2 linked regions of the Coturnix japonica genome follow. The protein of the gene in region 1 interacts with the protein of each later gene in a pairwise test. Links are inferred from orthologs where the notes say so. Each region holds a gene or a part of one and is shown on either strand. Other genes may lie near its edges. The genes, in order: USP54 and ATXN1L.

The links.
Region 2: the proteins of USP54 (region 1) and ATXN1L interact in binary tests that used the Homo sapiens proteins (3 or more experiments, as listed by UniProt). The link is inferred for Coturnix japonica from reciprocal best matches to the Homo sapiens genes USP54 and ATXN1L.

The regions. Positions count from the first base shown.
Region 1 is NC_029521.1:13,658,707-13,669,982, forward strand, and holds part of USP54 (inactive ubiquitin carboxyl-terminal hydrolase 54), read left to right. Parts: intron 1-182; coding exon 183-353; intron 354-4,401; coding exon 4,402-4,533; intron 4,534-4,773; coding exon 4,774-5,154; intron 5,155-6,553; coding exon 6,554-6,785; intron 6,786-7,722; coding exon 7,723-7,865; intron 7,866-8,897; coding exon 8,898-9,071; intron 9,072-11,276.
Region 2 is NC_029526.1:17,647,874-17,664,408, forward strand, and holds ATXN1L (ataxin-1-like), read right to left. Parts: upstream 9,204-16,535; 5' UTR 9,104-9,203; intron 8,896-9,103; 5' UTR 8,786-8,895; coding exon 6,710-8,785; 3' UTR 3,105-6,709; coding exon of another isoform or gene 3,007-3,104; 3' UTR 2,363-3,006; downstream 1-2,362. Other genes in the region: ZNF821 (zinc finger protein 821), read left to right, coding at 1-612. UniProt on the Homo sapiens protein: Chromatin-binding factor that repress Notch signaling in the absence of Notch intracellular domain by acting as a CBF1 corepressor. Binds to the HEY promoter and might assist, along with NCOR2, RBPJ-mediated repression.

The sequences.
Region 1 (11,276 bases):
GTTACAGAAAAGGGCGTTTTCTGTAAGATCGAGTCTTCTGGGATCTGTGTTTATATACTTGGTCCTCAGCTTTTTGAGATAACTTGTGTAGTTTCCTCTCTTCTTGTGTTCCCTTTTTTAGCCTCACTTGACTCTTTAACAAGCCCCAAGACATTGAAATTTGACAGTACTTTCTTTTTTAGGGAGAGAACCTTCCATCTCAAGTGATACCAGAACAGATTCCTCTACAGACAGCTATCCTTATAAACAGGCACACCATGAGTCTGTGGTCAGTCACTTCTCTTCTGACTCACAGGGAACGGTCATCTACAATGTGGACAATGATGCAGCTTCTCAGAGCAGCAGGGACACAGGTAGCAGATAAATTCATATCTCAATAATCATTGTCGATAAATGTGATGAGTACAGTGAAGCCTAGTGAAGAATCTCTCTCTATGCAGCCCGTAATGGACTAGTGAACAATGTTTACTATCTTATATGGTTTTGATTTGCAGTTAACCATTGTAATCCCAAAGATTCACATAATTTTAAATGTATGGCTGGCTTTTGTAGACTTTTATCTAGCCAGGCAAAGATTTACACACACTGTTTCTGTTATCCACTACCTACTTGCTCTCTTTGTTTTGTAAAACTCTGGAACTTGAAGTCTGTTGTGCACTTCCACTGTACAGTTTGGTAAGTCATGTGCGTACTACTTCTTCTTCATCTATGGGCAGTTTGTTTCAGGAGTTGCAGCTTTCTCTCACCAGGAATCTCCCATACTTGAGTACCGAGGACTTCCTGTGTATGTGTGTTGGCAGTGTTTACTGCACCAGGGAGGAGCATAAGATGATTTCCTGCCTGTGCTATGGAGACAAGTGAGAGCGTATAGTTGGAAAAGAGTCTGTCTTCATATTCCTTCAGGCAGCTGAAGAGTCTGCCTGAAGACTCTCTTGCAGAAAAGAAATGTACTGGAAGTCTGCAAGCTTAGATCTGTATTACTCATGGCCAGTGATCTCAGTCAGCCTGTTTCTGCATGTAGTACTAACTTCACTTCTGAAAAAGCAGAGCATGAGTTAACGACAGACTTCTTGAACATCAGAAATATGAGCTACTAAGTCCATTTGCAGTTCCTTTATTACTCTTTCAAAGACTTCCTAACAGGAATAACTGCTGAATCAGCAACTGTTGGTTGCAACAGTGTCAATAGCTAACACACAGCTGCATCCTTCTGGTTGTGAAGTAGTTGCTGTCACATCTTGTGACACATAAATATCTTTGGTTCATTTGAAGCAATCTGTGGTGCAAGTGTTTCACGTTACAACCTGAAAAAAATGTCTCAAGAAATTTTTCTTCAAGACTTTTTTTTTAATCTTAGCAGTTTCAAGTAACTGTAATTTGTGGTTTTAGATAACTTGAAGGTACTTCTAACCTTTAGCAAATACTTAGCAACGAAAGTTCTGGTAATAGTCCTCAGTAGAGTGTGAGAAAGAAGGGAAAGTTGGAGCAGAATTGGAGAGTGCTGAGGAAACAAAATTTATGTTGATCCAAAGATTACAGAAAAGCCAAAAATAAAAAAGCTGGTGGAGTATTATTTGTGTGGTCTGCAAAAGTAGCAGAAAGTATATTGTATTAGATTACTCTTTGTAAATTTTTTTTTTTAAATAGGGGAGGGTAGTAGGAGGGTTGCCACCATGTAAGCAGATTAAATTCAATATATAACCTTTTTGTTCTGTCATTTTTTAGTGATGCTCTCCTCTTCTTTTTCTTTCTTCTCCCACTGATTCTGTCCTATGTTATTCCCTTCAGTTCTAGACCATTTCTCACCACCTAATTTCAGTCATCCTCATCTTCCCTGACTCTGCTTTAGTTACAGTCAATATGTCCCCTTAGCTAGTCACCTGTCTGGATGTTTTCCCCTGTTATTTTTGCCTTCCTGAAACCTTTCCAAAAAGCCAGTCTGCCAACTTATGCAACTGTTCAGTCATCAAAGGGTGATCCGTGGGGCTATAAAGAAGCCATCCACATTGACCTGTCAACTGTTGCTGCTATTGAATCGTTCTGGGCAAGAGCAGGATTCTACATTTAATGGCCATTTACCCCACTACTTCAGCCCAGAATTTTCTGGACCCTATCCCACATCGCCCTTCTGGGAAGGACCACCATTGGGTCATATGACCTCAGGTACCTGGGTTCTTCAGGATGAAAGCATGAAGGGTGGCTGCATGAGCCCTCTCTTGCTCCTGCCAACCTGTGCTGCTGAGAAAAATGTGCGTATTCTGGCTGCCCTGTTCATGCAACTGAGATTTCCGTGGGAGGGAGCAGTGGATGTTCTGTCTTAATCTGTTTGATTTCATTCTTTTTCTCTTAACATATTCTGTCCCCCATTCCTGCCAAAAAAAAAAGGAAAAAAACCCAACAAAACATTTCTTTTTAATCCTGCTGTTTATGAAGCCATTGGACCCATCCTACACATGGAGGATGAGACATTTAGGAGCACATTCAGCAAGGCACACCCTTTACATGAGCAACCGAGCACTCAGAAATCCTGGCTTTTTATTTTAGTGAAGTAAATGAAATGAGTGTGAAGTTTCAGATTGTATTTCTGCGACTGTTAGTTCCTCTATTGATGCATTACACTGGTTTTAGTCTTTGTTAGGAGAGACAACATAACCTGTGTGTTGCAGGCTTGTGATTCTTGGAATCTCCTCTGTCTGTTAAACCTTCAACAACATTATGACAAAACTGGCAATTTATGAAAGGAGGAGAAAATTTTTATGCACTACTAGCAGCCTTCGTTTTTACAAGGCTGAATTATGTTCTTCTGTAGTCTATACAGACAGACACTAAGCTAGCTAACTAGACTTTGTTGCAGTGCACGAAGAGTGCTAACTAACCATTCTTACTAAGTAAGCTGAAAGAGCTGTAAGGGAAAAAATGTTCACTAGAGAAGTTGTGCACTCTGAAATGAAAAATAATCCTCTTTTTATCTTGAGAGAAACCACAACAAGGTATGAGATGCTACTGTTCTTTCAGTCCCTAGAAGATATATGGCAGTCCATGCTGTGGTGGTAAATGATTTCTCCCAAAGAACTGACTGATTCATGCTCAGTCACCTAAATGCTGTAGGTCTTTAGTCTTCACTGCCAACGTTTCTCTTTTATTCCCTTAGTTCTTTTCTTTATTTTGTTTGTTTCTAAAGAATTTAGCTACAAAATCACTATACAGTTTGCAATTGAATAGAAACATGAGTTTTGTGTAGCCTGCTTTTTATTGTTTGGATTCCTTCCCACTCATACATTGTAGCACCTTTGTAGCAACTGTAGTTGAATTGTATTACTTTTTCAACTGTTTAAAAGTATGATTTTACTTGTAAAATCTACTTTAAGTGTTGTTGAATTTGATGTTAATTTCTAGTAAAGGACCAGGCTCAGAACAGCCGATTACATAGTCTGGGGGCTGTTCATCCACTGTTGAGTAGTAGAGTTTTTCCATTGTTGTCATCCTGTACAAGGTGAAATTTGTTGATGTTAAGGCTAGAAAAGTCTTTGTAGCTTATTCATAAATTCCCTTCTTATCCTGCATCTCTGCTTGGGACTACTCACGTGAGTAAAGCCATGCGTGTGTTTGTGCTTGAAGGCTTAGGACTGTGAATGTGTGAGAACCGTAAAATAAAGAAAATAAATGGTAATACAGAAAACACGTAATTAACTGTCATATACTCTTAATCACATTTTGTCTGGGAATATATCATGTACAAGAGAAAATGCTAGGACACGTGAGCTGTAGTTAAGGGATGTTGTGTGTCAGCTGATCCATGCTGCTGATGTGTGTATGTTCTTAGCTTGTGGCAGATATGAATTAGCTGGCTTAGCCCTAGAGAGCCAACTGAGGCTTCTTCCTTGTAGCCTAAACTAACTCAAATTACCTTTGCTACAGGCGAAGAAAGTGCAGATATAGAATCAGTGTAGAGATGCTGATGATGCGCAGTAATTTTTCCTTAGATGCTGACTTGCTCATGCATTTAAGCCTTCATTCAACAGAATAACGGCAAGCAAACTATTCTTAGTTTTTTGTTCATGGCTATGAAAACTGAGCAAGTGTTCAGACAGCAAGGAAGTGGTATCCTTAGAGCACAGCACGATAAAATACAGTCAACTCTTCTTCTTTTGGATGATCTCTCATTATTAGAGTCATTGGAGGGAGCGTAGCACTTATAACCTTAAAACAAAGCAAACAAACCAGACTCCCCTTCTCCAAGACAAAACCAGAGACTTGTGGATGGAAGAGCTTAACCAAACCTGACAGTTAGCATTGGAGAGGCTGTAGCTCCTAAGGAGCAGAAGAGCCCTACTGTTCTCAGCACACAGAGCACTCAGTCCGAAGGCTCGTCGTCTCAGCTGTGTTCTTCTGTCCTTTCAGGGCACCTGACTGACAGTGAGTGTAATCAGAGGCATATTTCCAAAAAGGGCTCTCTGGCAGAACGCAAGAGGAGTTCTAGTCGGTCTCGGCGAAAAGGGGATGAGACTCAGTCATCAGGATACCACAGTGAAGGCAAGAATTGCTATTTTATTGAAAATATCAGTATCTCTTTCTGATTATTTTTTTTTTAAGATTCTTACTGCATATGTACATTTCTCTCCTTGCCTGCATTTTGTCTTTTGCTTTTTTTTTTTTTTTTTATTTTCCTTTTATTTTACTTTTCAAAACCAGCATGAAGATGCCGTGAGTAGGGCTGATAGCTTAATCTGAAGTTATTTTTGTGGCTTTTGCTCTCTCTTTTATGAACTACAGGAGAAACCTTGAAGGAGAAACAAGCCCCCAGAGCTGCCCCCAAACCATCCAGCAGCACCAGCAGACTAAGGGAATTTAAGGAGACAGTGAGCAATATGATCCACAACAGACCACAGCAAATTTCTCAAACCAACCAAAATTCCCCTCATAGAGGGAGTCACGTGGATCAGGCAGAAACACGGCCCTCAAAAAGCCTCTCTGTGCACTCTAGAGACTGGGAAGTTGAGAGTACCAGCAGTGAGTCTAAATCCAGTTCATCTAGCAGGTACCGGCCAAGCTGGAGACCCAAGAGAGAGTCTCTAAATATAGACAGCATCTTCAGTAAAGACAAGAGGAAGCATTGTGGATACACTCAACTTAGTCCTTTCTCTGAAGAGGCAGGTAAGAGGTTGAGAAGAAAGATTTATGTTGAAGTGTGTGGAATTTATAATATTCTGTTATTCAGTTTCATGTAGGTAAAATAGAAAAGTGAAAGTTTTAATGTGGCATGTAGGCTGGTAGCGACTCATGTCTTTGAAGTTTCTTTGTCAATATTGCATGTGTGATACTTGTTTGCTTTCCATATGTTAAATTTTACATCTTAGAAAGTAATGAGGGAAACTTTACTGCCTGTACTGCTTAAATGGACTCAGTACTAGACAGCTAAATATTTGGAAGTTCACCGCTTGGAGTGGCCTTTTTTATTGGTCAGGGTTTTTCTTCTGGTTATTTTTGCATGATGGCTTAAACTATGGTGTAACAAGTACTTCACACAGTAGTGCTGAGCTTCTGTCATGAGGATAAGAGCAGCTGCTGATGATTTACCAGCACTTGCTTATGATGATTTATACAGCAGCTATGCAAACTGAATATAGAGACTTTGTCCTTGGTTTTACTGTTTTTTGACGGTGAAGGAATCCGTTGTGATCTGCTTCCTGTCTTTTGTACCTGTTGCCCCATCCCCCTGCTTCCCTTCCCCTAATTTGGAAATGAATGTAGCACAGTCACTTTATTTCTACCTCAGGAGGTGGATATTCCTGAAACTGTAATGCTGTGAAGAGCAGGTGTTTACCAGTTTCTTTCTTTTTGTTGGTGTGCTACTGGAACTGCTGCTTTGGAACGTGTGTAGATGAGAAGGAAGAGATTTGTTTGACTGGCTGTGGAGTGGTGGTTAACCAGGGCACTTGCAGCAATTTTTGAGTCTTGAGAGGCAGGGACAGTGTCACCTACTGAAAGGAACTAAAGGCTTAAAGGAGTTGAGCAGCATAAATGGATAGAGAGAAGATAAAGATATAAGAGAACACAGCTTCAGGAATAGAAAAAGCCAGAGGAAAAAAAGGAAAAAGGTAAAAAGAAAAAGAAAGCAAAGGGGCAAGTGAGAACATACAGGAAAATCAACAAATGTAGCATCTGAAGTTAATATGACAGTGCAGTATAAATTGGAATTACTAAAGGCACAGTTGGGTATAATGTTAAATGATTTTTGTGAATACAAACTGTTAGGGGGAGAAAGGGATTTTCTTTCCAGATTGGATTGTTACTTTGGGAGAATATGGTAACATATTAAATGGAAGAGTTTTGAAACCAAATTTGCTGAAGAGTGCTGCTTAACATTAACAGAAATGCTGTAAAAGTATTGTTGTTTTTTTTTTTTTCATTTTCCTATTTCTAATGTGAAATGATCTTAAAGACAGTACTTCTGGTTTAAGCATAATTGAGATAATTGAGGAGCAAAAATGTGCATCTTCAGAGCAGCAAATCTACACATCTTCTACTAGGTTATTCTCTTTTATCTCAACAGGAAAAGAGCTTATGGAGAATGAGGTCAAGGAACGTACTGTTCAAGAAACAAGGTCAAGCCAGTCAAATGTCAGATACAAGCGTCCTGTGCCAAGCCGAGGTACCCAGCATGTGATGGATCAACATCCTCATCTAATACAGAGGATGGAGTCTGGATACGAAAGCAGTGAACGCAACAGCAGCAGCCCAGTTAGTCTGGACATGCCCTTGTCTGAAAGTTCAAGCACCCACAGGTAGATTTTAACAAACTTCGTTTTTGGTGTGAAGTCTTTGTTTCTTTTTCGCTGTGTTATGTAATACTGTAGAACATTAAAAACAGAACAAACCAAAGTTAGCCCCATGAAACCAAGCCAACAACACAAAACAACAATCCTAGCTTACAAGACAAGTTCCTTGTGGCAGGGAGAAATAGAAAGGAAGTACAAATCTGAGTGAGATTGATCCCTTTTCTTGTCAGTATATCGATAACTTAATGCTGATGATGAGTAACGAAAAGGAAAATGAATGAGAAATGTAATGTTGAGTGAAATTATGCATCTGAAATAGTCATGCCCTTAGTCTACAATTTAAAATCTCGAATATCAAGCTTAACATGTCCTTTGAATTTAGAATTGGTCTTTTTTCTTTCAGATAAATAATTGTTTCATAGAATCTGTGTACAAAATCAGAAATTGATAGTCTTGCAACCTAATCTTGGAAGATGAGGAGCTTAGGAGGAAGTTTTTTCACTCAGAGGCTGGTAACACACTGGAACTGGTTGCCCAAGGAGGTTATGGATGCCCCATCCCTGGAGGCATTCAAGGCCAGGCTGGATGTGGCTCTGGGCAGCCTGGTCTGGTGGTTGGCAGCCCTGCACATAGCAGGGGGTTGAAATTGGGTGATCTTTGAGGTCCTTTTCAACCCAGGGCAACACATGATTGTCGGTTTGAGAGATTCACTGAAGTCTTGAAAAACATTTGCAGTGTTTATAAGCAAATGTAAGGGCTACTGTCCTCCTGCTTATTTGCTTTCTCTTCATCTGTTTCTCCAAATAATTTTCTGTGGTATGCTTTTCTTTTTTCCCTTGGGACTATAAATTAAATTGCAAGTAAATATTTTTGTGACAATAGAAAATGTAGACATAACTTCTCCTAAGGAGTTTAATACTGTGAAATGTAATTACTCTTTTTGGAGGGACATTCATATGAAACGAACAGGTGGATTGGTTCCTGCCTGGCGTAGCATCCCAAAGTCTCACAGTAGCAGCATACTGGAAGTGGAGCCTACTTCGTCAAATGGGAGCTGGGCGAGCAGCCCACGTGCCATTGGAAATGGTAAGATGAACTTCTCAGTAGTAGTGGTTCTGTGAGTTAAAGTTTATTGGAGTTGTCTTTTGCTTTCTGGATGTTTATCTTTGCAGTGCAGTTATGAAAAAAAGGAATTGAAACATAGAAGAATATAACAACACAGCTTAACTAGTAGTAACTTTGGTTTACCATATGAAATGGTAAAAAACTTATTTGGAATGTTCTTTTTGATCATGCTGTTCTTGTGTCATTTTCAACAAAGACTGATTTGACTGATGAAGTAAAGCTGTTTTTCCTTTTCTTTCCCATAATTCAGTATTCTGCTATTAGTTGAAAATGTCTTCCCGAGCATAACTCATGATAACTCATGATAACTGTTGATTCCTGAAAATAAGCTTATAATAGTGTATACCACGTTCAAAACTGTCACAAATGTGATTAAGCACTTACAGGGTACTTGGACTAAAGCTGAGCTTTTTTGCAGATGCACATTCCAATTATCCTTCTGAGGAAATCCTTCCCCTTACCCAGATATTCTCAGGAATTAAGTAATGAGGGAAGATAGTTTCTATATACAGGTCAAAGTTGAAGTGAGACTGAAGACTAATTTCTGCAGTGTTGACTTGTACCTGCGTACACATAAGCCTCTTTTCCTTCCATTTTCATCAGGCTACGTTGGCATAATGTTGGTTACAGTTCCAAGCACAGTAAGAAGTATCAAGATTTCACCAGCAACTTAGAATTCTCTTTTCAGATTTTTCTGTTTCACGTGCTGTTTCTTGTGTCAGTGAATTGAGGGAAGGGCTGTGCTACAGGGGATTGTGGACTAATACTGCAGTGCTTTTATCAGAGCCACTGACAGAGAAGACAATTGGAAACCAAATGACTTTGGGCAACCATTAAAAGTAAAATTGAACAAAACAGAATTTGTGGTCTGAAATTCTGTGGTCTTTGGTCAGTATGTTATTTTCTAATGGCAATTTTATTGTCCATCAACATTACTTTGTCTTTTAATGGATACTTTCAGAGATCTTACTGTAAAAAAAATTTGTTTGGAAGGTGGGGAGATGTTTGCCCCTTTGAAGAGTGAACTGGATGAACTGCAAGAGGAAGTGGCAAGAAGAGCACATGAACAAGAACTACGCAGGAAAAGAGAAAAGGAAATGGAGGCAGCAATGGGCTTTAATCCCCGTCCCAGCAGGTTCATGGATCTAGATGAGCTACAGAATCAGGGTAACTTTTTGAACGCAGTATATTTTGCGAGATTTTGGTGCTGAAGCTTTCTGAAGTTTAGAGCTTACTTTCCTACTCTCTTCCCATCCTCCACTCCCACACTGCAATTTTCTGTCTTCACATAGTAGAACGCTATCAGTTTCAGACTTACTGCATACAGAAAACTGATTGGCATTTTGACCATATTATTTCTTCAATGTGACAACAAGGTAAAAGTTTCTAATGCAGAGAGGTTTATAATTGCACCTTTCTATTTTGTGTGTAGTGGTATCTAGATTTAGCTTCAAGGCTTCTACCAATATTTTGGAATAAGCATTCAGATACCTCAGATCCGCCTGCAGCATTGCTTGTCCACTTAAATTGTTATTTTCTTTATTTTTCTTGCTTAGTAGCATCACTGACCTAAGCAATTCTGTCTGTTCCTGCCTTTATACTCTATGATTCTCTCCCTGTTCAGCTGCAGCACAGGGGTGACAAGTAGTGGGGTGAGCTTAAATGGGTAGAGTACTTCAAAAAGATACATATATATTACGTCTTTCCTAAAGGACAAGAATTGGAGAGAAAAACATTGAAAAAGCCAAATATTCAGTCTTAGTATGTCTGCTCCAAGACTCCCTGCCTTTCTATTAAGAAGTGGCAGCAGAAAAGGAGATTTAATAGGAAAAATGCGACTGTAACAGAGGGAGATTAGTGACAGGATTCAAGTGTAGCACCGTTGTTTTATTCTCAGTCTCCATTAGCTGGTAAGAGAAGGCTGGCTGACCCAGCTGAGAAACTTGGTAGAATGCTTAACTGTGGGTTCCTGGAGGTCAGCAGAACCAAGAAATGTGGTGAAACATGTAGGATTTGGTCTCCTGAATTCATGCATTGCTGGGGCAGACTCACTGAGGTACTGTGGCCTCCCAGGCACTTCTGTGTTGCCAGACCTCCTGGGACCCTTATACTGTTCACTCAAACCTCTTGTAGCAGAGAAGGAGATGAGGTGTTTGTGTGCTGCAGAACAGAGGTGAAGGATTGAGAGGGGACACCCCACAGCAATGTGAGCTCTGGATGCAATACAGCTGGTACTCTGCCAACTGTTGGAATGTCACTATACTTTTGGTGGCTGGATAATATGATCTTCATGAGGATGTCTGACAACCTGAATGTACTTTTTAAAATTTCTTGGCATTAGTGAGTTACTTGATAATCCTTTATGGTCCCACTGTGACCTGCAGGTAACCAGTTTACAACTTCTGTACCAAAATAGACAGGTATTTCTTTTTATTAGCATTTGGGTTTATTTTTGTAAAGTGCTAATGAGATAAAAATTGAAAAGTGAGCCTCTGTTCTTGAGCACAAGGATATTGTCTTTTCCTTGTTAATGAAATTAGCAGTTTTCCAACACAATGGCCTTCTTTGTTCTTCTGTTGTGTTGGTAGAAGCAAGACCTGCTTAGCTTTTCACTGGTAAGAAGTGAAACTAGGATATTTCTTTATCTAAAAAGACTTCAGTACAATATTTGAGTTACAGCCTTTGACCTGAGAAGGAAAATTTTAATTTGTTCCCACTAAGCCTTTCCCCATCCCAGAGATGTAATAGCTTAACATTAGCAGACTGTAAGGTTGCCTGAAACATTTGCTTATGCACAGGACTTCAGAACACTTGTGACTCATTTTCCCTCAAGTAAATTGCTGAACTCATGAAAGAAAACTAACTTCAGTATGCTGGCCTTGCTTATGAGCCTCACTCAGCAGCCTTGATTTTGAAACTGAATGTGCTGCTTGATTAACTCACTGCTCTAACAAATCTCACTTCTCTCTGCAGTAATTGCTTTTCATATGAGTTCATAATGGGTTTATGTCTCTCCATTTGTGCACAGTGCTGCCGGAGAACAGGTCAGACCATAGTATATGTTTTGGGAGTTGAGAAGGTATAAATTTCTGTTGGCCAAGAAATATACTCCTTAGATTCTCTGTTATAATGAAGACCTTACAGAAAATCAACCCACCTCCCAGTGAAACAGTCTAATATTATTTTGGCCTACCTCACTTGAGCATGAACATTTCAGCCTGTAACTTGCATTAATGTTTAATAGATGACACTGGCTTGTTTGGGCATTTTCTCCTCTCAGAACTGGATGTTTCTTCAGTGTTTCTTATTTGCTATTTGTGTCCAAGAATGATTTATATTTTTATCTTCCTATGCTATTTTCTAAACTACTGT
Region 2 (16,535 bases), on another chromosome or scaffold:
CCACAGAGCGAGGGCCCCTCCAGCGTCAGTGGGAAGGACATTACCTTTCACAGCCCCGTGTATCCTGCAGGCATCCTCCTGGTATGCAACAACTGTGCTGCTTATCGTAAGCTGCTGGAGGCGCAGACACCCGGCATGCGAAAGTGGGCGCTTCGTCGGCAGAACGAGCCCTTGGAAGTGCGTCTGCAGCGCTTGGAGCGAGAGCGCACCGCCAAGAAGAGCCGGCGGGACAATGAGACTCCCGAGGAGCGGGAGGTGAGACGGATGCGGGATCGAGAGGCAAAGCGCCTGCAGCGCATGCAGGAGACAGATGAGCAGCGAGCGCGGCGGCTGCAGCGAGACCGAGAAGCCATGAGACTGAAACGTGCCAACGAGACTCCAGAGAAGAGACAGGCCCGGCTCATCCGGGAGCGGGAGGCCAAGAGGTTGAAGCGGCGCCTGGAGAAAATGGACATGATGCTGCGGGCACAGTTTGGCCAGGACTCCTCTGCAATGGCAGCTTTGGCAGCTGAAATGAACTTTTTCCAGCTGCCAGTCGGCAACGTGGAGTTGGAGAACCAGCTGCTGGGCAAAATGACCTTTGAGGAGCAGAGCAACAGTACGGTGCATTGAGCTGCAGCCAAAGGCTGCCATCTCCGCTGCGTCTGTCACAGACAAACCAACAGGCTTCTGTGCTCGGGGGGCTGCTATAGCTCCCGGGGTCACACTCCTGCATAGGTAGTTCTGGCTTCCTCCTGAAATAGGAGGAGAATGGAGCTGACAGACGTCTGCCAAAGTAGATTTGGTGGAAGCAGATTTGGGCCACAGTCTGGGGGGCCAGCCACAGCCTTCAGACAGCGGGAAAATAAATTAATGTTTCATGTTTATTTAGCCCCCTTCTTTATCTTTTGCGCTTTGTCCTATTCTTGGACCCTCACACCATTAAGTGGGTTGAGGCTGCTGCAGTTCTGCTATAGGTAAGATGTTCTGCTGAACAGAAACTTGTTTACTGCAGCATAAGTTACAGGTGCCAGAGCACTGTCATGGATGCCCAGACAGGCTGTGGAGACTCCATCCATAGAGGTGTTCTAAAGGCTGCTGGGATGCAGTCCGGGCTGGGCTGCTCTGGCTGTCCCTGCTTGAGCAGAAGTTGGACCTGATGGACCCACAGGTCCCTTCCAACCTCAGCCATTCTGGGATTTCAAAGTGAAATGAGCTTGTTCAACTTTAATACTGCCCAATGCAATGCTGCTCATCTGGGATCACGGGTCACACACTGAGCAATTCGTCCCTCATGACAATTCTCTGACCAACAATGACTTTCAGTGGTCACTGCAGGTAACACATGGGAATGGCTGGGGAAACTGTAAGCAGAAAGCTGCTTTTGCTTCTGCGCTGTAACAGAACCCATGAGAGTAATGCAGAGAAGTCCTGAATTGGGGAGGAGCCTCAAGAGCTACAATAATCGAGTCTGGGAATATCTGCTGGAGAGCAGCGAATTTAAGCCTAGAAGCAGACAGTGCAGAACGTAACAGGGATTTGTACATATATGAAAATGTTCCCCTTGCTACTACAGATAACTATAAAACTATGCAACTATGGAAATTAAACCTAAGCGTATTTTGACTGTAAAAGACAAAACATTAGTGCAGAACTGGGAAGTGAAGGGGCAGAGAAGTCATACATCCTCCATTTAAGAGAATGGTGATGTAAGAGTGAGCTGTAGCTCTCCAAACTGCTGTGACACACGTTGCACGTGGTGCCCTGCAGACCACGCTCCCTGCAAAGGCCTGCAGTACATCTGTGTGTGGGGAGCTGCGGTCTGTGCATTAAGTCAGAAATTGGCCACAAGAATCTCACCTCGGACCCGAGCTGAAACATCAAAACCCTTTGGGCAGACTAGTCAGAAACAACTTGGTTTTTCAAATCCTTTTGATGGGACTCCATCTGAAGGCCACACTTCAGTGCTTACAATAGCTGCCTTTGGAGCACACAGTGCTCCTTTGATCTGGACACAAAACCTTGCAGGCCGTCCTGTGGGCACTTGCTGCAAAAAGCTTTTAATTTTTTTGAAGCCCACACTTTGTTCAACACGCAGAAGTTGTTTTAACTTCTCATTCTCCACAATGACTCCCAGTCTGGCCTCGCTCTCTTTGGAAAAGTTGATCTCTCTTATTCTTACCTCCATTTTCATGCCAAGCTCCGTTTGCTCTTTGCAGCAGCTGCTATTACTCTACGATGTGTGCTTTGCTCGGCCAGCAGGTGTTTTGCTGTGCAAACTATAGCTGAAGCCATAGATCCCAGATCACTGTATAAGACCACAGAACCCGTATCTAAGTGATCGCTGATGCCACAGACAAGCAAAAAGTCTCAAACACCAAAGGAAAAGCTATTGGTTTATATATAGATATATAGATAGATAGATATATACTGTGTTTACAGAGTCAACAAGTTAAATGGAATATTCATAAGAGCATTAACAATAAAAATACAATCTGTGTGTAGCCAAGTACAGACTTAAAATGGTAAAACAGGAAAAAGGATCTCACCAAAAGTACAAATATACAGTACAAATTGATTTATTTAAAACAGTTACAAAAAAAGCACAACAAAATAGAGATTATCCTTAGAATTATTAATGCTTTGTTAAAGATCAGGTAGGAGGAACAGGGTGGGAGCAGGGTTGGAGAGGAGCACCTGACTAGTTCTAAGGCTTTAGATACAATGCGGTCGGTTACATGTTAATACAGCCATTACATAACTGGGATTATAGTTGAGGGATCAGCACTTATCTACAAAGACCTCCTTGTGTCAGGGCAGCCCAGCTGGTCCCCCAGTGCCACACATCTTCCTCTGCTTTGTGTGGGCAGACCCTTCCCTGGGCTCTGAGGTGCCACCAGGGCAGAAAGCAACCCAAATGCGCGCGGTGCTTGGCAGGGTGGGCAGCAGCAGCCTGGGACGTTGGGGCAAGTCCCGTCCTATGTGGACAGGCACGAAGATCACGGAGGAGTCTCAACCATCAGCACATTAAGCCCTACATGGATCACACTGGGCCAAACTCGGTATAGAATGTGCATTCGTAGTCATCTGAGCAGCTTCTGCAAAAGTTTCAGGCTCAAGACAGCCTGAAAGGCAAAGAGCAGTTGTGAGTGACGCTAGGGAAAGGCACATGTACTGCTATGGGCAGGGACTAGCATTTGGGCTACTCGAGCTGCTGCAGTTTTCATTTAAAATATTTTCCGAGTAATAAGGTTTGTTAGTTCTCTACTGGGGAAAGTGACTTCAAGTGTGGGGTGGGGACGGGAGGGTCGGGGACACAACGTGAAAAGTGCATTATACTTGTGCACCTGCTGGGAAGGGGAGGCAGAGGGACCTCTGCAGCCTTCCTCCTTTCCAGACAGAGCTTCCTCTGCATAGTCTGGTAGTGATGAGTGCTCGTCACCTGGAGCAAATCTCATGTCCCTGGAGGAACAATGTACGCTGGGCCTGGAAGCAGACCTGGCTTCTGCTGGGCAGCCAACCCAAGGAATGTTTGATGCGGTGGAACAAATTGCTGCAGACACCCGTTACTGCATCCTTCAGACACTTCCCACAACCTCCGTGCCAGCTGGGTAAGACCGAGGCCAGGACAGCTCCTCCTCCAGGTAGGACAGACCACAGATCTGCCTCACTTCACAACAGCAGCAGGAAAATGGTTTATTTCTCTAATAAGCCTCTCACGTCTCTGCCTGCAGAAGGGTCTGAATAACCAGCTGATTCCACAGTCTCTTCCTGGCTTTCTCTCTGCTACTCCTGAACATAAGAAACTGAATCTTCCTCCACGGGTTCATTCGTGGTCTAGCTGCCCACAGCAGAGCCTGTCTCACACTCCCTGTCTCGGGTGAGCCTGAACACAACACAACCACCACCGCAGGAGATGAGCATTGCAGCCCAATGCAGTAAGGAAAGACTCCAGTGATTACAACTACTGTTCAGAAGGGCTGGAGGGCCTCTAGTGTTCCCATCCTGACAACGGCCACCCGGGCAAGCAACCGAGTTGACAAAATCCTTCATCTTAACACCCATCCATGACACTGCCCCAGCTGCTGCTTCCAGGGAACAGAAGAGCTGGCAGCCGAAACACACTCAGCAGTGGGACGTGCAGGGAATCTGGATAGAAACCCCGAGGTCTAACGCATCCTGGTCTCCTCTGAAGAGCTCAGAACTCAACAGGCACAGTCAGACTGGCAGCATGAAATCTCCATGGTGAGCACAGGCACAGCCCTCCAGCTGCCCAAAGTACAGAGCTGTTCTCGCTTGGCAGCATCTTGCCTCATACACCAGCTCTTTCAGACCGCTGCCCAGTGCCAGGGCTCTATGAGCAGTAGGTACAGTGACATACAAGAGACAAGGGGGGCTCAACAAACTATCCGAGACTTACACCTTCAAACAGGTGCTCGAGAGGTTCTGCACCATTCAGATGTGCAAACACTCAGAGTATCCAACGTCCCTTCTACATTCATCAGCTGTACTTAATGCAAGATCCCTTCCTCAGCCGCCTGCCACAGTTCTGAGTTGCTCTGCATGCACCATGCAAAGAAGGGCAAGAGAACCCAGGCTGCGCTGCCTTCTGGTCTCGGCGCAGACACCTGGATTTCCTGAGCATGAGATAGTAACCAGCATTAGTCAAGGCCATTGTGTAAGACTTCAGGGAATAGCGACGGTGAATCACATGTGACAGGCAGGCACAGGGCCCAGACGGGACATTTCACTGACAAACAGTGTCATGAAGACAACATCCTTCCCACAGGCAAAGGAGGCAGCACCTCCACGTGACAGCGTCACCACGACTCTGTACAATTCCAAATGCAGCTGATGAGATCATGAGCTGTGTGTCATTGGGGGAAAGCTGCGCGTGACACAGGCAGCATCCTCACTCTGAAACCCTGTGAGGCACAAACACTGAAGGCGTGAACGGAGCACATCTCAACTAAGGCCTGAAAATAAATTGCTTTCCTGGTGCAGGAATGTCAAAGAACAGAAATGGGCAGCAATGTACTAGGAAAACCATTCAGGAGACTCTCTAGCTGGCCTAGCACCTGTGCAGAACATCCTCGTCATGCAGTCAACTGAAGCCAAACATTTAGAGGACACCTTACTGGACGGTATTTGGACCGGCACTGCAAGTGAGCTGAGCGGGGAGATGGTGAGAGCAGCAGCACGCTGCTGCCTGGCAGGAACCTTCAGCACGATGAGAACAGGGAGATGGAAAATGGTGCCAACATCAGGAGCAGCTCTCCAGGGATCCACGTGCCGAGAAGAAACCCTCAGAAGCCTGGACCTAACACAGCCATGGGCACTCTAACACAAAGAACACTTAAACCCGAGCTAAGCCGGTGAAGACTCTTATTCTCAACAAAATAGTGACTTTTTTATTCTATCTAAGCAGCTACAGCTGGTGTCATATTGCAGCACCAGAGAGGTTAAATTAGTGTAACTACAGAAGCCTTCACCTGAATGGAGTGTTATTACACTTCTGTTAAATCTCACTTTGAAAAAGACTATTCTCAGTTCCACAGAGGAATTCCAAAATGAAGCATCAGAACGATCAGAAAAACACCCAAAACGCCTCACAATGCCGTGGTATTTTTAGAGTCCCTAGCAGAAGATCTGTACTTTGCCTCCACATGCAAAAACACTTGTCTGTTGTCTACAGTTTATTCGGAAGGCTGCCTGCAGGGAAGAACTAGCCATCTGTAAAGTTCTGCTTCTGATTTAATTACACAATAGTCTCGGTCCTCTTACAGTAGAAGGATGCATTTTCATTTTCACTAGAGAATGTTAAATATGTTTAACTCTCGCTTTCCAAAAACAAGAACAACACAACATAAAAAAACATAACCCCATTCACCTGCAGACTAAGCATAAAAGCCATACGCCCAAGAGGTTTTTGTTTTCAAGGTTATTAACATAGGAAGGAAGATTAGATTTGGTGGCAAATACTTAAATAATTTTGGTGACAATAAAAATATTTCATAGCAGGAAACTGAAGTCTCCTGTTCTGTGTCCCATCTCAAGTGCTCAAGTTCTCTATCCACCTGCACCCAAACCCATCCTTTTGGTCCTTCCTCTTGAATTTATGTGGTTAGTGGAAATTTCTGTACATTCTTTGCAAAAAGAGCAGTTGGATTCAGTGGAAGAGACATTAAACAGAACCATCAGAGAAGCACCTGCGTCCTGCCCTCAAGAGCTCCGTTGGTGAACGGTCTTTTTAAAGTGCATGTGTGAAGAAAGGGGATTGTGGGAGTAGAGCCCCCTAAACTCCAAAGGAGACCCATCTCTCCCCATCAAGAGAAAGGAGGAATAAAATCTTCAGCAATTTCATCTGCTACCTTAAGCCATGTCTGCCTTTCCCATCTCCCTACCTTCCCTGAATGCTTAGACCCTGCCCGGCGGGGAATCAGTTATTCAGAGAGGTGCAAGAAAGCCCAGCCTCTGGATGCTCTCATTGCAAGCTCATGAGCACATCCATGTTCTCTACCCCAGCCGGCCTGCTGCTGCTTCCTGAGGCACTGGAGCCCCCCATATTCCCCAAGAGGAACTGGTCAGCCGCTGAACTGGAATAAATCCAGCTCTGCAGGGCAGAAAGCAGTCTTGCTGGTGAACCTGTCACAAAGTCTGTGCAATTTCTCCACCCGACATAGGTAAGGCTCACCCACAGGGGATGCCCTCGCTCACAACCATAAAGGGATCATTTCCCTGCATTAGAACGCCCTTCAATAGACAGCTTGACCTCCTGGGGAATGAAAGAGGGACGGAGCAGAGAGTGACGCGGCTCCTCTGCCTGCACGCTGTATCTTTGGAAGCCTGGGGCTGTCCAGCTGTGCTGACTGCCAGTCTCAGGCTGAGAAGGTTCTTCATGGGAGCTCTGAGCTGCATTTTCCCTTTCTGTCTGGGTCTTCCTTTCAGCAGTTCTGTCAGATGGTTCTCTGGACCCCTGAGCAGTTATTTCAGATCTCTCCCTAGTAGATATCAACTGATCTGTGAAAGGGTAGTTAGCCTGAGAAGCAGAGTTGCCATTCATGCTCTGTAAACTGATTGATATGCAGACATCACCCACTTGCAGCCTGTGACAGGTCAAAGCAAAGAGCTGAGCAGTCCGCCCTGGGCTACAGGAGGACCAGCCCTGGCCATACACAAAGAATGGATGCTCTGGGGGCACATCAATGCTTACTTTACTTTGTTGCTCCCCAACCACAAAATGCAACGTGACAAGCCCGGGCCACTGGCTGTCCTGAATATCCACCACAGTGCTCGAGTCAATCTTCAGGCCTCCGCTCACCTCTGCGCTGCGAACAAAGTCTTGAGTCTGCAAGTCCTCCACTCGTTTCAGCTCCCCTGTAGCCAGCTGGATGATGGCTCCTTTCATGAAGTGAGAAGGCAAGCGAGAAGAGCTGGGTGGCTGTAGCTGGGCCAGGTCTTTGTCAAGCACGCCTCCTTGAGCCTGCACAATTGGGCTCTGCCTCACCAGGGCTTCTGAAATGGAAGACCTGATGGGCTCAGAGCCAGCTGGAACCAGGACTGGCTTGCCGTTAGCTATCACCATTCCTTTGGTTAACTGTCTTTGTCTGACCTTCTCTTCAGGAGATGCAACGTACGGACTCCTGGACTGGCTCGTCTCAGCAGCGCCCCTTTCCACCGTGTTCCTCAAAATGTTCTTCGACTCCCCCTGCTGATCAGGGATATTATGGCAAAGGTTTAAAGGGCTCGGGTCATCTTTCCTCTGGGCTGCCAGAACATGATAATCCTGAGAGGCCAACACCCCCACCACCCTCTGAACCTCCAGATCAGCGTCTGGTGTGCTTCTATGTGCTGGCGCAGAAACCTCTGTTCTGAACGTCTGGTAACCTGAAAGAAACTGTCCATCAACAACACATCTCACTGCAGACCCTGGCAGACAGTCTTCAGCTTTACTGCTGGCAGAATCCGCTGCCTCACCGGTCCTCCTCACCACACCGTGCTCCAGATGTCTCTGTTCACCATTGGCAGCAGCCACCTCCGAACTCAGCGGACTGTCTTGCTGAGAAGAATCTGGGTTTCCACCTGCTGAAGGTGTCTCGTATCCTGAATACCCAGGTGGGAGGCGAGACATCTGATAATAAACAGGAATCCTACCTGGTGTGGTATCTAGCGGCTGGGTCCCGGCATGGTGCTGCATCTGGCCAGGAGAGACCACAGGAGCAGATTTGTTGAAGCTGTGGGTAGGAGAGGTAGTCTGGGGGGAAGGAGCAGCTTCTTCCGTGAAGAGAGAGGCATATGGCACAAAGTGGGGGACGTGAGAGGTGGTGAGGTTGCTAGAAGGAGACAGGAGAGGACTAGGCAGGAAACCGGGAGGGACGGCATAGGGCACCGTGTAGTGCGAGCCGATGAGCTGCAGGGACGTCGGAGGGATCTGGGCGTAATGGATGGGAGGATACGGCAGCCCCGGGTGCTGGATTATGGGCGAGGTCACGTTGAAGGTGGGGGTCAGGGGGCTCACGTTCACCACGGGATGCAGCCCCGTGGGTGAGAAGGTGGCGGGCGGCACCGCCACTTTATAGAGCATCCCGTACTGGTCCACCGTCAGCCCCGCCACGGCTTCCGCCGCCTCCCCGGGGCCGTAGCGCAGGGCCACGGTGCTCGACCCGCCCGTCCGGGCCCACTCGGGGCCCTCGGCCGAAGCCTGGGCGCCCCCCGCCCGTCCCGGCTCCGTGCCGGCGCTGGCTGCGGGCAGGTCCCGCTTCTTTGGCGGGAGACACTCCTGGCTCCGCTCGTGGCCCGCTCTCATGGCGCCGCACGGTGTCCCGGCAGCCCCGGCCGCGACGCTGGTTCATGGGGGCACCCGCAGGGGCTGCCGCACGCCGGCTCCCGGATCCCCGCCGCCGGCCGCCGCCTCACCTGCACCGGGAACAGAGGGAGCCGTGAGCCCCGGCCCCGCCGCCGCCACGGAACCACGGAACCGCGGGGACGAGCCTCGCGACCCCGCGCCCGGACGGCGAGACCCGCCGGACCCCGCCCCGCTGCGGAGCTCCGGCCCCGGGGACGGAGGTTGCCCGAGCCCGGCCCCGCGGATCCCGCCCGTCGCCCGGCCCGGCCCGCGGCTCACCCGCCATCGCCCGGCTCCTCCTCCGCGACCCCCACCGGCCACACCGGCCCCATCGCTCCCACCGCCGCCTCCGGCCCGGCCCCTCCCCGCGGCGCACGGCGATGACGCGCGGCCTCGCGCCGGAAGCGCCTCACGGGCCGGGGGGGTGGAGGGGGGCGGGGACAAGGAGCGGAGCCCGAAGCGTCCGTTACCGGGGAGACGGGTCCGGGGCGGTGCGAGACGGGAGGAGAGGAGCGGAGCGGGCTGCGGGGCGGGACAGAGCGCGACCGGCACCGAGCGGACACGGGGCGGGTGAGGGAGGCGGCCGTTCGGAGCAGCGCGGCTCAGCCCGGCCCGGTTCAGATCCCGGTTCGGATCCCGGTTCGGATCCCGGCCCGGTGCGGTTCAGGCTCTGAGCTCCGTCCCGGTACCCGCAGCCATATCCCGCCCCCCTCAGCCGTTCCCGTCCCGCAGCCCCCGGTCCCGCTCCGTTCCGTTCCTCCGCTCCGTCCCGTGTTTGGCGGCACTCGCTGTTCTTTACGGTGCCCAAAGCTCCGCGGGTTCCGGCGGCTCGTTCCGGCTCCTCACGCGGTGCCGCTCCGTGCGCTCAGCCCCGCCGTGCAGCGGCTCGTTCCCTCCCGTTCCCCAGAAGCCGCACGAAAAACAAAACAAACCGAACAAAACCAACCGGACCGGTGGGCAGCGCGCTCTGCCCGCGGCGCACGGACACGCCGGGCCGCGCTTTAACAGTGCCGCCCCACCCGGAGCGCACACGCGGGTCCCGTCCCGTCCCGCCCCGCCCCGCCCGCACACCGCGCACGTTCCCCGCGTGGCCCCGCCCCGTCCCCGCTCGGTCCGTAACTGGCGTCGCGCTGCGGGGCCGCCCCGCCGTGACGTCATCAGCGACTGCCACGGCATCTCGTTGCGCTGCTCGCGATGCGGAGCCTCGTGCGCTTCCGCCGGGACAAATAGTGCGCGCGGCCCGTTCCTCCCGTCCCGCCGCCCGCCGCCGCCCGTCCCGCTCCTGTCGGTGCCGCCCCGGCTGAGGCCGCCCGGCCGCTTTCCGGGACCGACGCCGGCGGATCCCGGGGGGCCGCGAGGAGCGTCGTGCCGTGCGGATCCCTCCGCCTGCGGTATCGGTGCTGAGGCCGAGCCGCCGCCATTTTGAATGCCCGGCTCCTGCCGCTGCCTCCGCTCCAGGGACCGGCCCGGTGAGTGCTGCCGCCCGCCGCCCCCATCCGCGCCGCCCGCCCGTTCTCCCGCTCCTCTCTCCGCTCCGTCCCCCGCTCCCGGCGGTGCCCGGTCCCGCTCTCTGTCGGCGTCGCCTCGTCCCGCAGGATCCCTCGGCCCGGAGCCTCGAGCCCCGCCGTGCTCGGGGCGCTGCCCGCCGTCCCTCGGCCCGTCCCGGCTGTGTCCTCCCGTCCCGTCCCGCGGCCCGTCTCGCTCCTCCCGCCCTCGCTCGGTTCCCGCGGGCTCCTCCCGTCGCTCTGTGCCGCCCGTTCGGGGCTGTGGGAGGCGGGACGGAGCGCGGCTCGCGGCCTTGTGCTCTCAGCCGCGGGCTCGGGCCGGGCCGCGCTCGGTAACGACACGCGGCGCCGCGTGGAGAACGGGGAGCGCGGCGGGAGATCCGCCGGGACCGGGCGGGCTGCGCTCGGCGGCTGGAAGGCGGCGCGGGGATCGGGGCCCTCTCGGAGCCTTCCCCGCTCCTCCTCGGGAGCCACAGGGCAAACCCTGCTCGTTTGAACGCTGGGCGTTGGTTCGGCAGCGGGAGGGCGGCACCGCCGTTCGCTTTGCGGGGCTCTCAGGGCTCCGTGCTGCGTTCGGTTCTGAAAGCTTGAAGCGAATGGAAAAATACGGAGTTAAATGGAAGCGCTTCCAAGGGCGTTTCACGTGCGGGACCAGAAGCGGCATCTGGCGCTCACCGCCTTAAGCAGCGCGGGGCGTATTTCTGTCTGTGCGATCCTCCATTCACCCCGTGTTTAAAATGACACATTGAAGATTTTTTTCCCTGTTCTTCATTGCAGTAACATCAATCTCGATCTTCCGTTCGCTTGTTTACTTTTCTTCCCCCTTTCTGCAGACTGTATTTTTCCTCTGCAGACAGGGAGCATTCCCATTCTACCACAAAACTTTTCCTTTTTCCTGCTTGTCCTGTCTTCAAACGGTGCATTTCGTTGGATGCCCGTGAGCTGGATGCAGGCGGGAGGCCTTGTTCCTCAGGGCACTGTGCAGGGTGAGCCCTCGCTTCTGCCGCGCTGGGAGGAGGAGAGGAACGAGCTTCAATTCCTGTGAGCTGACGGCAGAAAGGAGGGTCTGTTAGTGAGGCACCCAGCTGTCCTGGCCCTGCTGTGTAGAACAGCTTTCAGGTTCCTTTTTTATTTTAGTGTTTCTGATAGAGGGACATTCTCTTCTCTTCTCTTCCATTTCTTTGTTCCTGTGACTTTTAATCTGACCTTTCTTTTTTCAAGGGGCACCGTAATCAAAGCGGAGTTGGTCCGTACTTTTGGCACTGTCCTGGCCGATGAGTGAGTGTGACAGGTAGATCCTTCCAATCTTGATAGCCTGTTTGCAATAGGAGGTTTGAATTAGCGTCACTGTAACCTGATGAGATTGGTACATTCGTTTGTGGAATAAAAAGGCTGTGAGCAGCAGAAAGGAGCTGGATCTGTCTGTTCTTAGGCATGCAGACAGACTGCATGGGTTAAGGATTGGGAAGTTGCCTTTCAGAGCATAAAGGCTTCTGAAGTTGATGCCTCCTTTACATTAATGTTTTTGAGTTGGTGTTGTGCATCTTCAGACAGAGATGAGCTGTTTTGTTTAATAAGAGCGCAAAATCTTTGGTCTGAAAGCCATGTGAACTTGTTCTGGATCACACTGGGATGTTCTTTGAGGAAAACAGTCTCATCGATCATGATGGTTGTGTTACTTTATTGGATGATATTTGGTGTCACTAAACATACACAGTGCTGTTACTCAGAAAGAAGCAGTGCAAACGAATATCTGCTAATATCACTGCAGTTAGTGGCATTTGCCTTGATCTGGCACTTTGGAGATGCTGTAGATAAAGGTCCACAATGAGCATTTCCAGGCACCTGGCAGTACAGCACTTTGTTGTAGTGCAGTGTAGGGGAAGGTGTGTGGTTCAGTCTCGAAGCAGTGACACACGTGCTGCCCTGCCTGCGTGCTACCTGTGCTGCCTTTTGCTGTCCGTGTACCTGCACGTTGCACCATCACATCCTCTGCCGCTGCTTTTTCAGCTTCCGTTTTTAGGCGTGTTCCATGCTTCCTTCCATTCCCAAGCCCCCCATCTTTGTATAATGCAGACTATTCCGATTCCTTGTCTTATCATTCTCTGTCTTGACATTTCCTTTGCCTTAATTTCTTTCTGATATCCCTATGTTACTTATTTTCCACTTGTTATTTACCTGTGTTGTAGGAAATAGCTTTTTCTCAACACACGCTACGTTCCCCTTTGAATGTTGTATGGTTGGTTGCTTTTTAGGAACTCCTGTGTGTTGCCTTTGCCCGCAGTGATGATGGCAGTGATGATGGCTGTGCTGCTTGGTTGGGAGCGTGCTGTTTTCTGTATAAATATGGATGATGTTAAACATTGTGCCGGTATCTCTTTCTTCTTAGTTTTTCCTTGCCAGTCTGGTCTCTGTTTGTAGTGTTTTATTTCTCTTTTTACTGCCATTGTGCCACTTTCTTTTCAGGTGTCTGATGGTGTGAAGCCCCCTGGCAGTGTTGTTTGGTCTGTTCAGGTTAACCACTGCACGTTTTCCTTTTGCACAGTCTATCCAGACATACCTTCTGTTTTCTTTTCCTGTTCAGGAGGCTCGATCAGTTCTAATGAAGGAAGTAGGGGCATTCTGTTACTGATTGCAGTTGGAGGTTTGAATTACGTAACTTCGCAAAAGTGGGGGTGCGGGGTGTGTTGTTTTTTAAGGAGTGGGATTGCAGGACTTGGGGGCAGGGTCTTGAGGCTTAATTTCCTGATGGCTGGCTGTGGGTTGACTGAAGCACTTGAGTACTTTGATGTGTGAGGTTTCAGCAGGGTCAGGTGCTGCTTGCAGGTATAAGACGTTAACTGCTAACAGCCTTTGGATGCGGTGGTATTCTCAAGCAGGTCCGTAGCAAGGTTCTATGTTTACGTATTTTGGGGGTAATAGCCTGTTAAGTAAGATCTTCAAACTTAATGCAGTACAAACACATCTATTAAAGGACTGCAAGGGAGGAGAAAGTACCTGTTTAGAAGCATAAAGTATAATACAATGAAGTGTTTTTAATACATTACGATTTTTGTTTTGCTGGTTGACGTGGGTTTTTTATTCCACTTTTGGATAGTTTACCAAGAAGGAATTTCATGAAGGAGGAATTCCTTCCTGGTTGGTTTGGTGAGGAGTTACTGAGTTGGAGAGGGATGAATTTAGGCACCAGTTGCCCAAACACAGGAATTAATCTGAGTTGGATATCTCATTCTTTTTTGCATATCAGGAGAAGTGCTTCTTAAAGAATAAGGCCTTCAAGCTGATAAAGTATGAAACAAATTGTGGTTCCTACTGTTAGGTTCTTGTCAGGTATTCAGAGATAATCCCCGATTTCTGGAGTTTATGGGTAGCAAAGAACAGAATGAGGAAGGAGGCTGAATGGGAACAGAACCAGTGATTAAGCACCTGGGGAAAGGAGCTGGTGAGCCCAGGGAGCAGGTGTTTGAGTTGCGTGACCAGGAGGGGGTGGAGCCTGGCTGCCTCTGTTAGTGCTCCTTGCAGGGCTGACTGTGCCGTGGGAGGATCTGTGCCTGGGGATTCCTTGGTGGAGCTTTCCCCTGTGAACCTGGAATCTTCTGACACGGCTGAGCAGTCTTCTTCCCTTACAGCAGCTTTCTATCGCGTTGATCCTCCCGTCATTTCATCTCTGGTGAATCACCTTTTTCCATCATATCGATCTGTTAAATTGTTACAGAGGTGATTGCTTTTAAAATTTGCGTTGCCGTTTGTGTTGATGTGGAAGGAACAAGAACAAGATGTATGTTCTGTATGGAAGGAAAAGTGCTAATTGATCCTGAAGAACAAGACTTGCTACTTTGAAAGAGGTTTTAAGCTGTATAAAGTTAAACTTCAGGTGTGCTGTTCCTAGATTATATGGTTGTTCTCTCTGTTCATCATCTTGTGCAATGAAATGCATCTCTGAAATGTAGAGCTCTGTGCCATTTTACTGTTAATGGCAGTTTGCTGTTCAATAGTTTTGTGGTTACCAGAGACTTATTACTGTATTACTTATTACTATTTAAAGTGATTCGTTGTGTTAATTTCAAGATCCTGCCTGATGTTGAGACAGATTTTATAGTTCATTGCTTATTATGTCTTATAGTTCTAAATTCTTCATCCTCTTCATATTTTGATTTCATGGTTCTTCATTATTCTTCTTGTTTTTAGCTCTTGTCAGATGATTAATACATGGCCTCAGTTCCTTCCCTCAGTGAAGTCTGAGTGCTCACATGTCAAATCCTAGGGCAGTTCTGGTTCTGCCAGGTTCAGGTTTCACTGCCTTGCCGGCCTGTGGCACAGTCGTGCTGCGCGTTGTCCATCCTTCACTCCTGCTATCAGGGAAATCAAAAGTTCTTGTCAATAATGCCCTTCTGGAGCTTGTTGGAGCCTTGTTTCGTTCTCTTTTTCCCTTTTATCCAACTGCAGCATAATAAAAGTGTGCTGACTGCGTATCCATGGAGTCCATGAGACCTTGTGCCTGCCTTGCTATTACTCTTGTCATAGTTCTCAGTATAGTTTTGAGTTACGGATTGCTTGGCAGCATGAATGTGGAAAAGTGTTTCCTGTTGTTCTGTTGATTTGACTGCGGTGGGGAGGATGCTGAGGTGTATTTCTTGACAGAAGCAGGAGAGGTGGGTCGTTGCATTCTTTTTCATTTAGTGTAGGTTGTTGGGTTTTTTGTTGGGTTTTTTCCCCCTTAGCTGTACAGCTGTAAATGCAGACTGGTCAGGTGTGTACCTGGCAGGTTAGTTGCTGTCTTGTGTGAATTGGATGTTTTACATCCTGGAGGAATATCCGTGCAAACCTGTTGCCTCCATTCAAGCTCTTCTGATTGTTTTTCTACTTTGGATGTTTTCTACCAAGCCTTCAAAAAAAAAGCTAATTGTGTGCACTCATGTGACTTAGAATTGCAGGCCAGAGCACTGTGGATTTGATAGTTATCATCCCCAGTCCCTGTTGGCTTGTTTTCTCCCAGCTTTGTAATCATTTACTCTCTAGATCTGTGTCAACACCGTTGTGATGCATCACCTGATGTGGCCGGTGGTGTCAGAGCTGCCGTTGAAGTTCCTGAGGATGATGTGGCTCCTCCAGGTGCAGCTCTGGCTGGCTTTAGCCTGGAGGACTGTCAAAATCTAGGCTCACTACTATGTAGTGAGATCATTTTAATGTTTCTGAGACAGGAAGTGAAATGTACTTCTTGGGCAGCGTGAGGCTGGTATTGCTTTGTATTGTGAGAGCTGAGGAGCTGCTTCTCCTTTGCTTTCTGAATTGCTGGTTCCTTGCTTTACTGCCTGTGTGTTGTTTAGAGGAAATAGTTTCTGTACCGTGATTTGTTGATAATATAATCCATGCTTACAAATGTCTTTACGTACTTGTTTCAATGAATGGATGATGACAATGAAATCTTACTGGATCTTCAGTATTGGCTCTTGGTTTTTCTGCCTCCTCAGTGAATGAGGAAGTCCTGCCTTAACTCTGAAGGACACACAATGAAGGTTCTTAGGCTGTGCTTCACGTGTATGGTAATTTCATTTGGTGCTGTTTCCATTGGCTGAAGTGATTTAGGCTTTGTCTGTTTACTTTCCATTGTCCAGAGCCAGATTTACTGGGCAAACAAAGCCCTCTATGGAAATACCCACAGAATGGGAAGGGCTGGGAAAGCAGCGCTGCCTACTGTAACGGATCACTGGAGATGGTGTTCAGCAATTCATAAACCCTTAAAATACAACGTGAGAGCAGAAGGACTTGTGATATCAAACCAGATCGATGCCTAAAATCTATTTGCAGTCTGTAAACATCTGCAGACAAACAAAGCAGCTGTTTCACTTGTAGTTGCTGCTGCTGCTGTTCTGAGGAGCAGAAGCTTGAGATGGTCCGTAACCTGATGGTTCTGCACTTAAGAGTGACTTAGTGTAGGAGGCCACGCTTCACATCTTTCCTGCTCCATCTTGGCTCTCCCAGAGCTGTCTGCTCACGCTGCCTTGTGCCTCATAAGCTCAACTGTTTTCAGATGTACAGATGGCTTCATCTGTCATGATGGGTCCTGGAGATGCTGTTCATAGACCAATGAAAGGAGTGGGATCAATCTCCTCTTTCAGAGTGAGCGTACACATAAGTGATTATTAATAAAGACATTGTTATTAATGATGATGAAGTTACTGCCTGTGGGCTGCAGAGGTGTGTGC